Linked DNA regions of Arabidopsis thaliana. The protein of the gene in region 1 interacts with the protein of each later gene in a biochemical or structural test. Each region holds a gene or a part of one and is shown in the gene's direction. Other genes may lie near its edges. The genes, in order: AKR2, TOC33 and TOC64-III.

Region 1 (3,750 bases):
TCTCTTTGATTGTCCAGATGTAATCCATGAAGACATGCCTACAGCTCCCAGTAGAGGTAACACTATACGATAATCCTGTGTAAGTTCAAATAGCAGTAGTACTGCTGTAAGAGGAACTTGACAAACCCCCGCAAGTGTAGCAGCCATTCCAACCTGTTAAACAATGAGACAAACAGGATCATTGGCAATGAAGCTACAAAAAAACTAGCATCCATTCTCAGTTAACCCGAAAAAATATTCTGTTCAAAGTATTGATAGGTAACCAATCAAGAAAGTCTGAAATTAAGACAATTTTGAAACATTGACCACATAAGAACAGTACCAGACCATAAGCTTGTGGAGATGCCACTTCCAAGATAGAGAGATTGAAATCAGGGTTCTGAGCCAAAGCAAGTCCAATAAACTTTCCATAGGCCATTCCTGCTGCCCCGCCAATAAAGAGAGAAGGAGCATAGTATCCACCGACAAGTCCAGAAGCCCGACACCATGCGGTTGCAGCTATCTTGACCGCTACCAGCTGAAGCAAAAGATCAGCTGAAAGACCCTTCACAAATGGACGTTTCTCCAACAAAATATCCACATTCTGAAAACCCCAGTATAATACTTCAGGGTATACCAAAGCTATGATACCAACACTTAATCCACCCATTACAGGAAATACAGCCTTTGGTATCCCAGCATCCTTGTTAAGACTGTCAACAGCAGATGTCATGGATGATGTACATCGAGATAATGCCAACGAGACCAAGCCACACAGAGCGCCCAATAAAAGATAGAGTGGAAGTTCTGAAAATCAGTGACCAGCTCTCATAAGTTTGGTTTCTGGTTCCCTTGCGTAAAAAGCATAAGAATGGCAATGCATATTACCTCCAGGAGAGCGGAAGTCATAGTCAGGAACCTTAAACGCAGGTTCAGAGCCGAGACCGATTTCGGAAACCACAGAAGCAGTAACAGCACTAAGAATAACCATAGAAGTTGTGTTTGGAAGTGAAGTTGATGAATCAGTTGATGAAGAAGGCCACAAAACGGATTCAACTGCAAAGAAGCATCCAGCCACAGCTGCATTGAACCCTGTAACAACATATAACAAAGTCCTCTTAACGAATCAATCAAGAGTTCCATACGCAAGAGAGAACAACATTAGCAAATATCAGATGAACAAACCAGAGGAAATGCCAGCAGCTGAGCCAGCGGCAAGAAGTGAGAAGCCAGTCTGAGGACTTTTATTGAACAGAGAATTCACACCTTTAGCGATTGACGCTCCAATTTCAACACTTGGACCTTCCGGCCCCAGCGAATTTCCAGTCCCAAGCGTCACACATGCGGCAACAGTCTTAAGGAAAGGACGCAACACTGCCTTTACGCGATCGAGACTAGAATGAGAATCTCCAGTAGATTTTCCAGCAGATTCTCGAAGCTGATTGAGGATGCTCACCACCAAACCGCCGATAGTCGGAACAAGGATAACACGCAACCAATTGGAACCGATCGGTGCCTCTCTAAGCCACGAAGCTCCACGATCAGGAATCCCATCCCAGGAAAAGTCTCGAAGCAAGTGAACACAGTTGTTGAATAGAACCACACTAACTCCAGTGAGAACACCAACCAAACAAGCCGACGCTATCGCAAGCTCCTGAGACGGCTGCTGATCAAATCCAACCTCATCCTGATCAGTCTCCTGCTTCGCCGCCGGTAAACGCGGGAAAATTCTACCGCCAATAGCGACGGAACCGAAAAACGGTGAAAGGACGACATTGAACTGAAAAGGAACGTCGGTTTTGTGAATTGGAGCGAATCTCCGGGAAGAGACGGGAGATCGGAGGGCAGCACAGAGTGGAAGCGTGGCTGCCATGAACGGCTGCTTCCGTGAAGTGACGCGTGTTTATCCATTAACGGATAATTTGATCTTAAATCACAAATCTTACGTGGCTGATCTTATTATTCAAACGCATGGGCTTGGGCCTTGAGGTAAACAGGTTTATATGGGCCAATAACAATAAATTTGATTAAAAATAAAAGGCCTCTTAGCTTTAGGTTCAAACTTCAATGGAGAAGCAGTGGCTGTTGTCCCTCGCAGTTGATCTTCTTCTCAATCCAAAATCCAGCTGATAAATAAATAATTTTTCTCTTGTCGTCATATTAAAAAAAAGAAAGATTATCTGTATTTCAAGTTTCATGAGCGTTTGCCACCACAACATTGTCTTTTCGGGTTAATTTCTTCTTCTTCTTCCTTTTCTTACTAAATTCTCTTAGGTAGTTGTCGATTCGATTTCTTTGTCTTCCTCTTCGCTTATTTTCGTTGAATCTCTTGTTTACACCTTTTCCTGAAAACAAAATTGTGTTTTTTGTAGGGTTTTAGTCATACTTAATGGCTTCCAATTCGGAGAAAAATCCTCTTCTTTCAGGTGATTATTTTCTTCTCAGTATACAATCTGATCTGCGATAATGAATCGTTTCTAGTCAGATTTGGTTATTGGTTCATTGTAATTTGTTTACTGTAGATGAGAAACCCAAATCGACGGAGGAGAATAAGAGTTCTAAGCCGGAATCAGCTTCTGGGAGTTCAACTTCATCAGCTATGCCTGGCTTGAATTTCAATGCTTTTGATTTCTCTAATATGGCTAGTATTCTCAACGTAAGTTACCTTTGCTGTTAGCACAATTGAAAAGTTATCTTCTTTGAGTTTTTTTTTAATTGATAATGGTTTTTTTTGTAGGATCCTAGCATCAGAGAAATGGCTGAGCAAATAGCTAAAGATCCTGCGTTTAACCAATTGGCTGAGCAGCTTCAGAGATCTATTCCTAACGCTGGCCAGGAAGGTGGTTTCCCTAACTTTGATCCTCAACAGTATGTCAATACAATGCAACAGGTTATGCATAACCCTGAGTTTAAGACAATGGCCGAGAAACTTGGTACCGCCTTAGTTCAGGTTAGGAATTGATGACTTTTTCCATCTAATCGAGGTGTGGCTTTGAATGAAGCTCTGTGTCTTATCTGATTTTATTTATTTTTTTTGCCTACAGGATCCACAAATGTCTCCTTTTTTGGATGCTTTCTCGAATCCTGAAACAGCAGAACACTTTACTGAGCGTATGGCGCGGATGAAAGAAGATCCAGAGTTGAAACCTATACTAGATGAGATTGATGCTGGTGGTCCTTCTGCCATGATGAAGTGAGTGATACAAACTTCTTTCAATGTTTTTTAGAGAAACTGTAGAGTTTGTTTCTGTTTATGAAGGAAGAATTATTTATTCTGTTTTAGGTACTGGAATGATCCAGAAGTGCTGAAAAAGCTGGGTGAAGCAATGGGTATGCCTGTTGCTGGCTTACCAGACCAGACTGTTTCAGCTGAACCTGAGGTAGCAGAAGAAGGTGAAGAAGAAGAGTCTATTGTTCACCAAACTGCCAGTCTTGGTGATGTTGAGGTTAGACTGCTTCCTACGTTAATATGCTTGACCATGTGAGATTTATCTTGCGTGTTGCTTGAGGAATTAGATGTTCCAAGTTTTGTTTTGTTGAACTCGTTATTGGATTTTTATTCGTTGATTCATTAGGGTTTGAAAGCTGCCTTGGCATCTGGTGGTAACAAAGATGAAGAAGATTCTGAAGGAAGGACAGCATTGCATTTTGCTTGTGGATACGGCGAGGTATGCAATTCTCTTATCAATTCACGGCAATTAAATATTCGGATTTAGATGGTTCTCTTTTTTTCAGTAGCTGTGAAGTTAAGAATCTTTATAATCATTCAAT
Region 2 (3,750 bases), on another chromosome or scaffold:
TAGTTCCGGTAGGTTTTTGAAACTCATTGGAGCTGATTTGTGCTGAGATTTGTATGATACTTGTTTTTTATTCAAATTGTCTGCACATTTTTGTTGTCAAATCCAAGGGTTTTCGCTCTCTAGTTATTTGCCTTGTTGGAGCTTTTGATTTTGGTTATTGATTGAGTTCGCGATCGATTACGTTTAAGCTTTGTAGCTGATCCGATCTGGGAGATTTTCTGGTGTTGTGTATCTTCTTCTTTTTGAGTGCTTCATTGATCTCACAATGTATATTTCGTGTTTTATATAGCCTTTAGTGTTGTTGTTGCTGAAATCAGTGAGTAAAATGCTATTTATGTTCGTTTGATTTCTGATTAGTAACATACTCAGCTTCTCGCTGTCCATTGTATTGTAGTAGAATTCTTGTAATGTGAATTGCTGATGATGAGTCTTTAACATTTTCTATCTAGGTATCTCCTGCTTGTGTTCCTTTCTACTGAGTTTGTGGTTGGAGATTTGAAGTACTTGTGTTTTAAGGGTAGTAAGTGGTTAACTACAGATGAATAAGAATCAAACAGTTGGGCTAGACTCTGAAGATGATGACTCTGATGATTACGACATTGCGCAAGTAAACTGTGAGCTAGCTTTGGTTGAAGGTCAGCTCTGTAACATACCATACGAGCTCTACGATCTACCAGATTTAACGGGAATATTGTCTGTTGAGACTTGGAACTCACTTCTGACTGAAGAAGAAAGATTCTTCCTCTCATGTTTTCTGCCAGATATGGATCCACAGACTTTCAGTTTGACGATGCAGGAACTTCTTGATGGTGCCAATTTATATTTTGGGAATCCAGAGGATAAGTTTTACAAGAATTTGCTAGGTGGATTGTTTACTCCAAAGGTAGCTTGTTTCAAAGAAGGTGTTATGTTTGTCAAGAGGAGAAAGTATTACTACTCTTTAAAGTTCTATCATGAAAAGCTGATCAGGACATTTACCGAAATGCAAAGGGTGTGGGTTCAGTATGGAAATAAATTGGGCAATTACTCAAGGCTCCTCATTTGGTCAGGACGAACTCAAACCGGTAATCTCAAGCTACTGGACCTCAATAGAGTTCCATCTAAGGAAATGGATAGTGCTACATGTAGATTCAAAACTCCCAATGTAGTGAAACCCGTGGAAAGAAATAGATCGAAAAGTTTAACCTTCCCTCGCAGTGGCAGCTCCAAGAACAGTCTCAAGATAAAGATAACCAAGGAAGGAGTATTCCGGTATCAAGGTTCCAGCTTAGTTTCTGCTGGCCATCATCATCAGACTTTGCCAAAGGGTGTTCTCAAATTAGTCCCTAAATCTTCTTCTGCCATCCTCAGGAAACCCTATGTAGCTCCAGGAAACAATCTCCTGCAAATCCATGAAACCGGTTCAAAGAGTACTAGATTTGCAGCGTCTCCATACTTAGGTACGACATTTGAGAAACCACCCTACGGAACTCTTGGCTGTTCTATCCCAGACCCTTTCTTAACCTATTTGGAAACTACACAAAGATCAATCCAAGGTACAGAACCGGTGTTTCATGATCCAACACACACTGTTCCCAGTGCTCTCCGTGTTTCAAATTACTCCATCACAGAACAGAATATACCTCTAAAGCAAGAAGAATATGTCCGGTACCACCTGAAGTCTCCTGGTTTTAAGCCTAGGACTGTTGACAGAGGCTCTGAAACAACAGAGAGCAAGAGGATTTCGTCTAGTAATAACTTTCAGAGGGAAGCCAAGGCTCTGAGAAAACCGCTGGGGGTCCTGAGCGAAGACAATCATGCTCGAGAAGCCAATAGTGACCATTTGTTTTCCTTGACTTACAAGCGAAGAAAGGTTCAGAGAATCGCTTGAGCTCCCGTGACGCTATGCTAATTCAATGTTCCACCTAATGTAGTCTTCCATGAAAATATGAAGTGTAATGCTGCAACTTGGTAACTGGATTTGGTTTGGGGTTGAGTTTGTTAGTTTTCAAAATTTGAAGGCACTAAAAAGAAACACTAAAGAAATAGAGGAGTAAAAGTGAAAATAATTTGAACTATTAAACAAATTACCGATAAGGTCACATTCTTTAGCTTTTCTCTGCGGAACACATCGAGAGAGCTTCTTCCAAAAACCTCAAACGCTCCTCACACAACGGTAAGCTCCTCCAAATCTCCCAAAACGTTATCGCTTTCGAAATTAATTATCATCATCGTCATCACTCAGCGATTATTTACCAAAAGAATTTTTTTGCTGAAGGGTTTAGGAGTGATGGGGTCTCTCGTTCGTGAATGGGTTGGGTTTCAGCAATTTCCAGCAGCTACCCAGGAAAAGCTGATTGAATTCTTCGGAAAATTGAAGCAAAAGGTGTGTTTTGTTGTTGTTGTTCCTGTTTCTTTGGTGCTTAAGTCGGTTTCTCGGATTCTCCGTTGTGATTAGGAGATAATGATGGGAGGTTTTTGTAATTGCAGGATATGAACTCAATGACAGTTCTTGTTCTGGGTAAAGGCGGTGTCGGAAAATCATCCACTGTCAATTCTCTTATCGGCGAACAAGTCGTCCGTGTCAGTCCTTTCCAAGTACGTAATTCAGTTTCCCTAAGCTTGATTTTTTTAATTTGGATTAAGAAAGAGTAGTCATTTCAAGATATTTGATGGCTCTGTTTTGTTGATTTTGTAGGCTGAAGGATTGAGACCAGTGATGGTTTCAAGAACAATGGGAGGGTTCACTATCAACATTATTGACACCCCTGGACTTGTGGAAGCTGGATATGTCAATCACCAAGCTCTCGAGTTAATCAAAGGGTCAGTAGCTACTCTTTTGGAATATCTCTTCGTTGATTGTTGCATATAGGATTATCTCATTCGTTTTTGAATTAATTAAGCTAAGTATATATGTGGTTAACATGTTTACTTGTGGGTTTCTGTTGAAATTGTGAATTATGAGTATCTGGTTTACGCTGAAGCTGTATATTGGAGTGTGTGTGGAAGTTTTACGATAGTTGTTGTGTTTCTCGGATTTTGGACAGGTTTCTTGTGAACAGAACAATAGATGTCTTGCTCTATGTTGATCGTTTGGATGTGTATAGAGTCGATGAGCTAGATAAGCAAGTTGTTATAGCAATCACCCAAACCTTTGGAAAAGAGATATGGTGCAAAACCTTGCTTGTTCTGACTCATGCTCAATTTTCCCCTCCCGATGAACTTTCCTACGAAACTTTTTCCTCCAAGAGATCAGATTCTCTCCTCAAAACTATCCGGGCTGGTTCTAAGATGCGAAAACAAGAGTTTGAGGTATGGTTATTTATACATATACCTGTCTCCGAAAATTGTTATACCAATGTATGTTTGGTTCATTGTAGCAAGAATCAGTTTCATTCTTTACTGGCTTGTAGGATTCTGCAATCGCGGTAGTCTATGCAGAGAACAGCGGAAGATGCAGCAAGAACGATAAGGACGAAAAGGTTTGTGTTTTCGAATCTCTGATTTGATCCGACTTGGAGAGAGACTGACTGTTAAAAGTTGCTTACCTGCTCTCGGTTCAGGCTCTTCCAAATGGTGAAGCGTGGATCCCGAACTTGGTTAAGGCGATAACTGATGTAGCAACAAACCAGAGGAAAGCAATTCATGTAGACAAGAAGATGGTAGATGGATCTTACTCTGATGATAAAGGAAAGAAACTCATCCCTCTTATCATAGGCGCTCAGGTAAGAAAGAGACACAGTTTGATTTATTGTCTTGTTCGAATTTGGT
Region 3 (3,750 bases), on another chromosome or scaffold:
TACTCTAAACATATTCAGTTTGACCCCAAAAAAAAACTCTATACATGATCGTAACAGAGTATTCGCGTGAATTTAGATGTAGTTTCTCTACCCTTTTTCAGGTATCCTATGAAAAAATCAATAGTACCTATAAAAGCTTACTTTGTTGTAATTTATCCTCTTTTCGTAAATTTTAATTTGCTACCATCCAACATGTCTCAGCTTTTACCCAAAGTTTACAAAAAAAATGTCTCTGTAAAGGATTTTGATTATTCCCATAACTAGAAACAATTAAATCAAATTTATCAAAAATATCAAAGCTCTCTGAGACATGGAAAGAAATAGTGTAACAGATGGCCAAGAGGACTTTAGCTTAAAGAAGCACAATCATTTCAAAAAGCAAATCATTTGTCACTTTCTTCTTCTTCACCTATCCATCCACAAAAACACTTTCCTTTTCCTCTCATCAAGAAACTCCCTAATCCGACGTCGTTCGTTTTAATTCAGTGACACAATCTCCCACATCTTCAAACCCTTTGAAACCAGCGATTACAGAGATGCAAGATCCTCATGTCCCATCTTCTCCAACTATCTCCTCCGTCTCTTCCTCCGATCTTGATACTGAGGTCAGTTCCTGCAATCTTATACTTAATAGATAATCTAATTAAAGATCAAGCTCTTCATGTGTTTTCTAAGCTACCCATAAAGCTTTATGCTATAAAGTATCAACCTTTAATTAGAAAACTAGTTTAAAGTTCCAAAGGTTATGTTTTCAGAACTGCCCAGAAACATATATATGTACTTGTTAGAACTTGATTTGGTTTTTTTATTGGTGATGTGAGGATTTAGTCAACAGGATCGTTCTTCCATGACAGAAGCATCACACTTGGAACGCTTATGGGATTTAGTTTCACTGCAACTATGCCGATGCCATTTAGAGCCTCTTCACGCCGCCACGTGTCACCTTCCGTCGCAATCTCACGAGCTTCTAGCTCCAATGCAAGACGCAACCACCAGAGAAAGCGTCCTCCTTCAAATTCGGCTGAGCCTGAGCCGCATCGCCGCCGTAAATGGTGGCGGTTTTGCCGAGATGACGATGACGACGCCGCCGGAAATGGAATCCACCGTGGAACAGGAGATTCAAAGCGGTCATCGCTCGGGGAGTATCTAGAGGTGGAACGGAGGTTTGGAGATGAAGCCGTTTACAACTCCGCCGAGGCAGAGCTAGAGGATGCGGTGGTGGCACGGTACCAAGATCAGCAGCCGGTGATGGGGGAGCGGGCATTGTTCGCTGACGGAAGGGTTCTTCCTCCGGCTTCAGCTGAAGTGGTTACCGGAGAAGGAACGCCGGTAGCCACGTCCCTTTGTAGATTTCCGGTATCTTTAACCGGTATATGCAGCGGTGGTGGAGGATGAATACGTCGGTTCATGTGTGTGTCTTTTATTTGTATTTAGACTTAAATTTTTGTATTTTGTTCGTCGAATCGGAATCATTGTTTGTGGAAAATATAACATGTTGAATGTAGTCATTGTCAAAGTAATTATTTGAGAAATAATAATGATTGATAAGGAGAATTATGAAGGAGATTAATTACAATGGCAATAGTAAAAGATAAGCATATAGAATGGCACACATGCACAGCTTTTGGTGTAAAATGGAGTTGTTCACTTGATTAGAGTTTTTATTTAAAATGCTAAACGTTGTTCTATCATATTGAGTTTTTGCTTCAAATTATTTCATCAATACGTCTTTATACTAGTCAGTCTTTGGACAATAATTTGACCAAATCAGATTTTGAGGCAAACACAATATGATTCTGGCCAGGAGTGTGCCACATTCGTGGTTAATTTTCCACTAGTATTTCTGAAAGTAAAACAATTAACCACAAATCATCCTCATAACATAAGAGGAGAAGATTCCTAACGACGAAGCAAAATTATCGAACAAGTGGACACACACAAGAAACCGAAAATACGGCAAAATGTTTGTTATGTGTATCCATATTTTATACCAATTGAATTAATAAAATAAACTGTAAAAACAAGAAACAATTAATAAAATTAATTTTTTGTTTTACAACGTGAATAAAAAACTGTTGACAAAACGAAAATAAAATAAACCCTCGAGTGATGTTAAAAAAAGGAAGAAGGAAAAAGAATAAAAACTCAAAGGGAACGCAACACACTAAACAAAAACTCTTTGGCGTCCTTCTCCTTAGGGTCTATCTCTCTTATCTTAAGCAGCAGCAGCAGCAGCTAGAACAAAAACGTCACCGATGGCGTCTCAAGCTGCGAATCTCTGGGTTCTTCTAGGTTTAGGTCTCGCTGGGATTCTTATGCTTACCAAAAAGCTGAAGAAGACCGTCCGTGAAGATTTCGGCGCTTTTATCGATAAACTCATGCTTCTTCCCCCTCCGCAACCTGCTCCTCCCAAAGCTCCTCATCCTCTCACCGGTCTAACCTTTGCCGTTTCCGACGTGTGAGTCTCCGTTGACTTGTTTCCCCCTTTCTTCTCCCATATGTTTATCATATCTATATTTGGGGGTTTAGCTGAATGATTTTTTCCTTGGGTAGAGTCAAAATTTTGTTTGACAAATGTTGGAATCTGCGTTGACTCGACTCGTAATCTTCTCCGGCGCACTACATGTCTGATTCTGAGCTTTCGAAAGTATGGTTGATTGATTTTGAGCCGTTTCACTGAAAATTGTGTTTGTTGTAGATTCAAATGTGTGTGTGTGTGTGTGTGTGTCTGCTAGTTTTGTCAAACTCATTTCAAATCGATACTTGTTGAATCTGTTCATTGGAAGGCTCTACTGTTTGATCTCTGTTGCTAGGTGTTTGTATGTTTTAGATTCGTCACCAAGTTTGACCTCGACTTATTCATGGAGTCCTACTTATAACTGTCTCAACATGTTGATTGACTATTTATCTAATCTGTGTATATCTCTCATTCTCTTCTATGATCTTTTGACTTTTGAAGTTCTTGAAAAGCTAATTTACTCTTTCTTTCCTTTTCATTTGTTTTCCAGATTCGATATTACAGGGTATGTGACTGGATTTGGTCATCCAGACTGGGTCAGGACCCATGAAGCTGCTTCGTCAACATCTCCTGTGGTTTCAACTCTCGTTGAAGGTGGAGCCACTTGTGTTGGAAAAACTGTAGTTGATGAGTTTGCGTTTAGGTTTGTCTCTGTTTCATAATGTTAAATTGTTACCTGTATCAGGATTCAGATTGTGATTCCAGTGTTGAAATTTTTATTTTATCAGGATGTTAGTATATTAATTCCTTTGTTTGGCTGTTTTCATTTTCTTCAGTATTAGTGGAGAAAACAAGCATTACGATTCACCTACAAATCCTGCAGCTCCTACTCGTATTCCTGGTGGCGCTTGCAGTGGAGCTGCTGTAGCCGTAGCAACAAATGCTGTGGATTTTGCTCTAGGTGAGTTCAGTAGCTACTTTTTTCCTTGTTTGGACAATTTGGTATGAGATAACCGTATCTTTGAGAAACAAAACATTGCATAAACTTTCAAAACATGGTCAATAATCTTCCTTAGAAAATTTCTGAAACGATTGATAATTTATTTATATTGCAGAAACTTATTTGGCATCTAATAGAATTGCTTGATTTAGACTCTTATGGCTATATGGTAAGATAGTTCCATGCGGATTTATAATTTATATGGTAGTCTGTCATTGGCTCCTCCTATCAGTATCTAAAATTTCAACTGTCTACTGGTTGGTTCGGTTTCAATTGTTTTCAGAGTATAGTT

Evidence for each region.
Region 2: the proteins of AKR2 (region 1) and TOC33 form a complex in vitro, tested with the Arabidopsis thaliana proteins (one study listed by BioGRID).
Region 3: the proteins of AKR2 (region 1) and TOC64-III form a complex in vitro, tested with the Arabidopsis thaliana proteins (one study listed by BioGRID).

Annotation. Positions count from the first base shown.
Region 1 is NC_003075.7:16,837,494-16,841,243, forward strand, and holds the start of AKR2 (ankyrin repeat-containing protein 2), read left to right. Parts: upstream 1-2,038; 5' UTR 2,039-2,253; exon of another isoform or gene 2,254-2,351; 5' UTR 2,352-2,368; coding exon 2,369-2,405; intron 2,406-2,434; exon of another isoform or gene 2,435-2,501; coding exon 2,502-2,635; intron 2,636-2,716; coding exon 2,717-2,929; intron 2,930-3,023; coding exon 3,024-3,172; intron 3,173-3,238; coding exon 3,239-3,425; intron 3,426-3,554; coding exon 3,555-3,647; intron 3,648-3,750. Other genes in the region: CLC-E (chloride channel E), read right to left, coding at 1-153, 323-786, 868-1,071, 1,165-1,852. UniProt on the Arabidopsis thaliana protein: Exhibits chaperone activity toward chloroplast outer envelope membrane, mitochondrion outer membrane, endoplasmic reticulum membrane and peroxisomal proteins, by recruiting specific proteins containing a single transmembrane associated with an AKR2A-binding sequence (ABS) and subsequently binding glycolipids (e.g. monogalactosyldiacylglycerol (MGDG) and phosphatidylglycerol (PG)) present in the membrane of the target organelle.
Region 2 is NC_003070.9:448,766-452,515, reverse strand, and holds the start of TOC33 (translocon at the outer envelope membrane of chloroplasts 33), read left to right. Parts: upstream 1-2,089; 5' UTR 2,090-2,155; intron 2,156-2,257; 5' UTR 2,258-2,269; coding exon 2,270-2,365; intron 2,366-2,469; coding exon 2,470-2,577; intron 2,578-2,677; coding exon 2,678-2,802; intron 2,803-3,026; coding exon 3,027-3,291; intron 3,292-3,392; coding exon 3,393-3,461; intron 3,462-3,542; coding exon 3,543-3,704; intron 3,705-3,750. Other genes in the region: AT1G02290 (uncharacterized protein), read left to right, coding at 539-1,870. UniProt on the Arabidopsis thaliana protein: GTPase involved in protein precursor import into chloroplasts. Seems to recognize chloroplast-destined precursor proteins and regulate their presentation to the translocation channel through GTP hydrolysis. Binds GTP, GDP, XTP, but not ATP.
Region 3 is NC_003074.8:6,145,775-6,149,524, forward strand, and holds the start of TOC64-III (translocon at the outer membrane of chloroplasts 64-III), read left to right. Parts: upstream 1-2,131; 5' UTR 2,132-2,255; coding exon 2,256-2,458; intron 2,459-3,008; coding exon 3,009-3,161; intron 3,162-3,294; coding exon 3,295-3,419; intron 3,420-3,750. Other genes in the region: AT3G17950 (uncharacterized protein), read left to right, coding at 537-605, 829-1,395. UniProt on the Arabidopsis thaliana protein: Chaperone receptor mediating Hsp90-dependent protein targeting to chloroplasts. Bi-functional preprotein receptor acting on both sides of the membrane. Not essential for an efficient import of pre-proteins into plastids.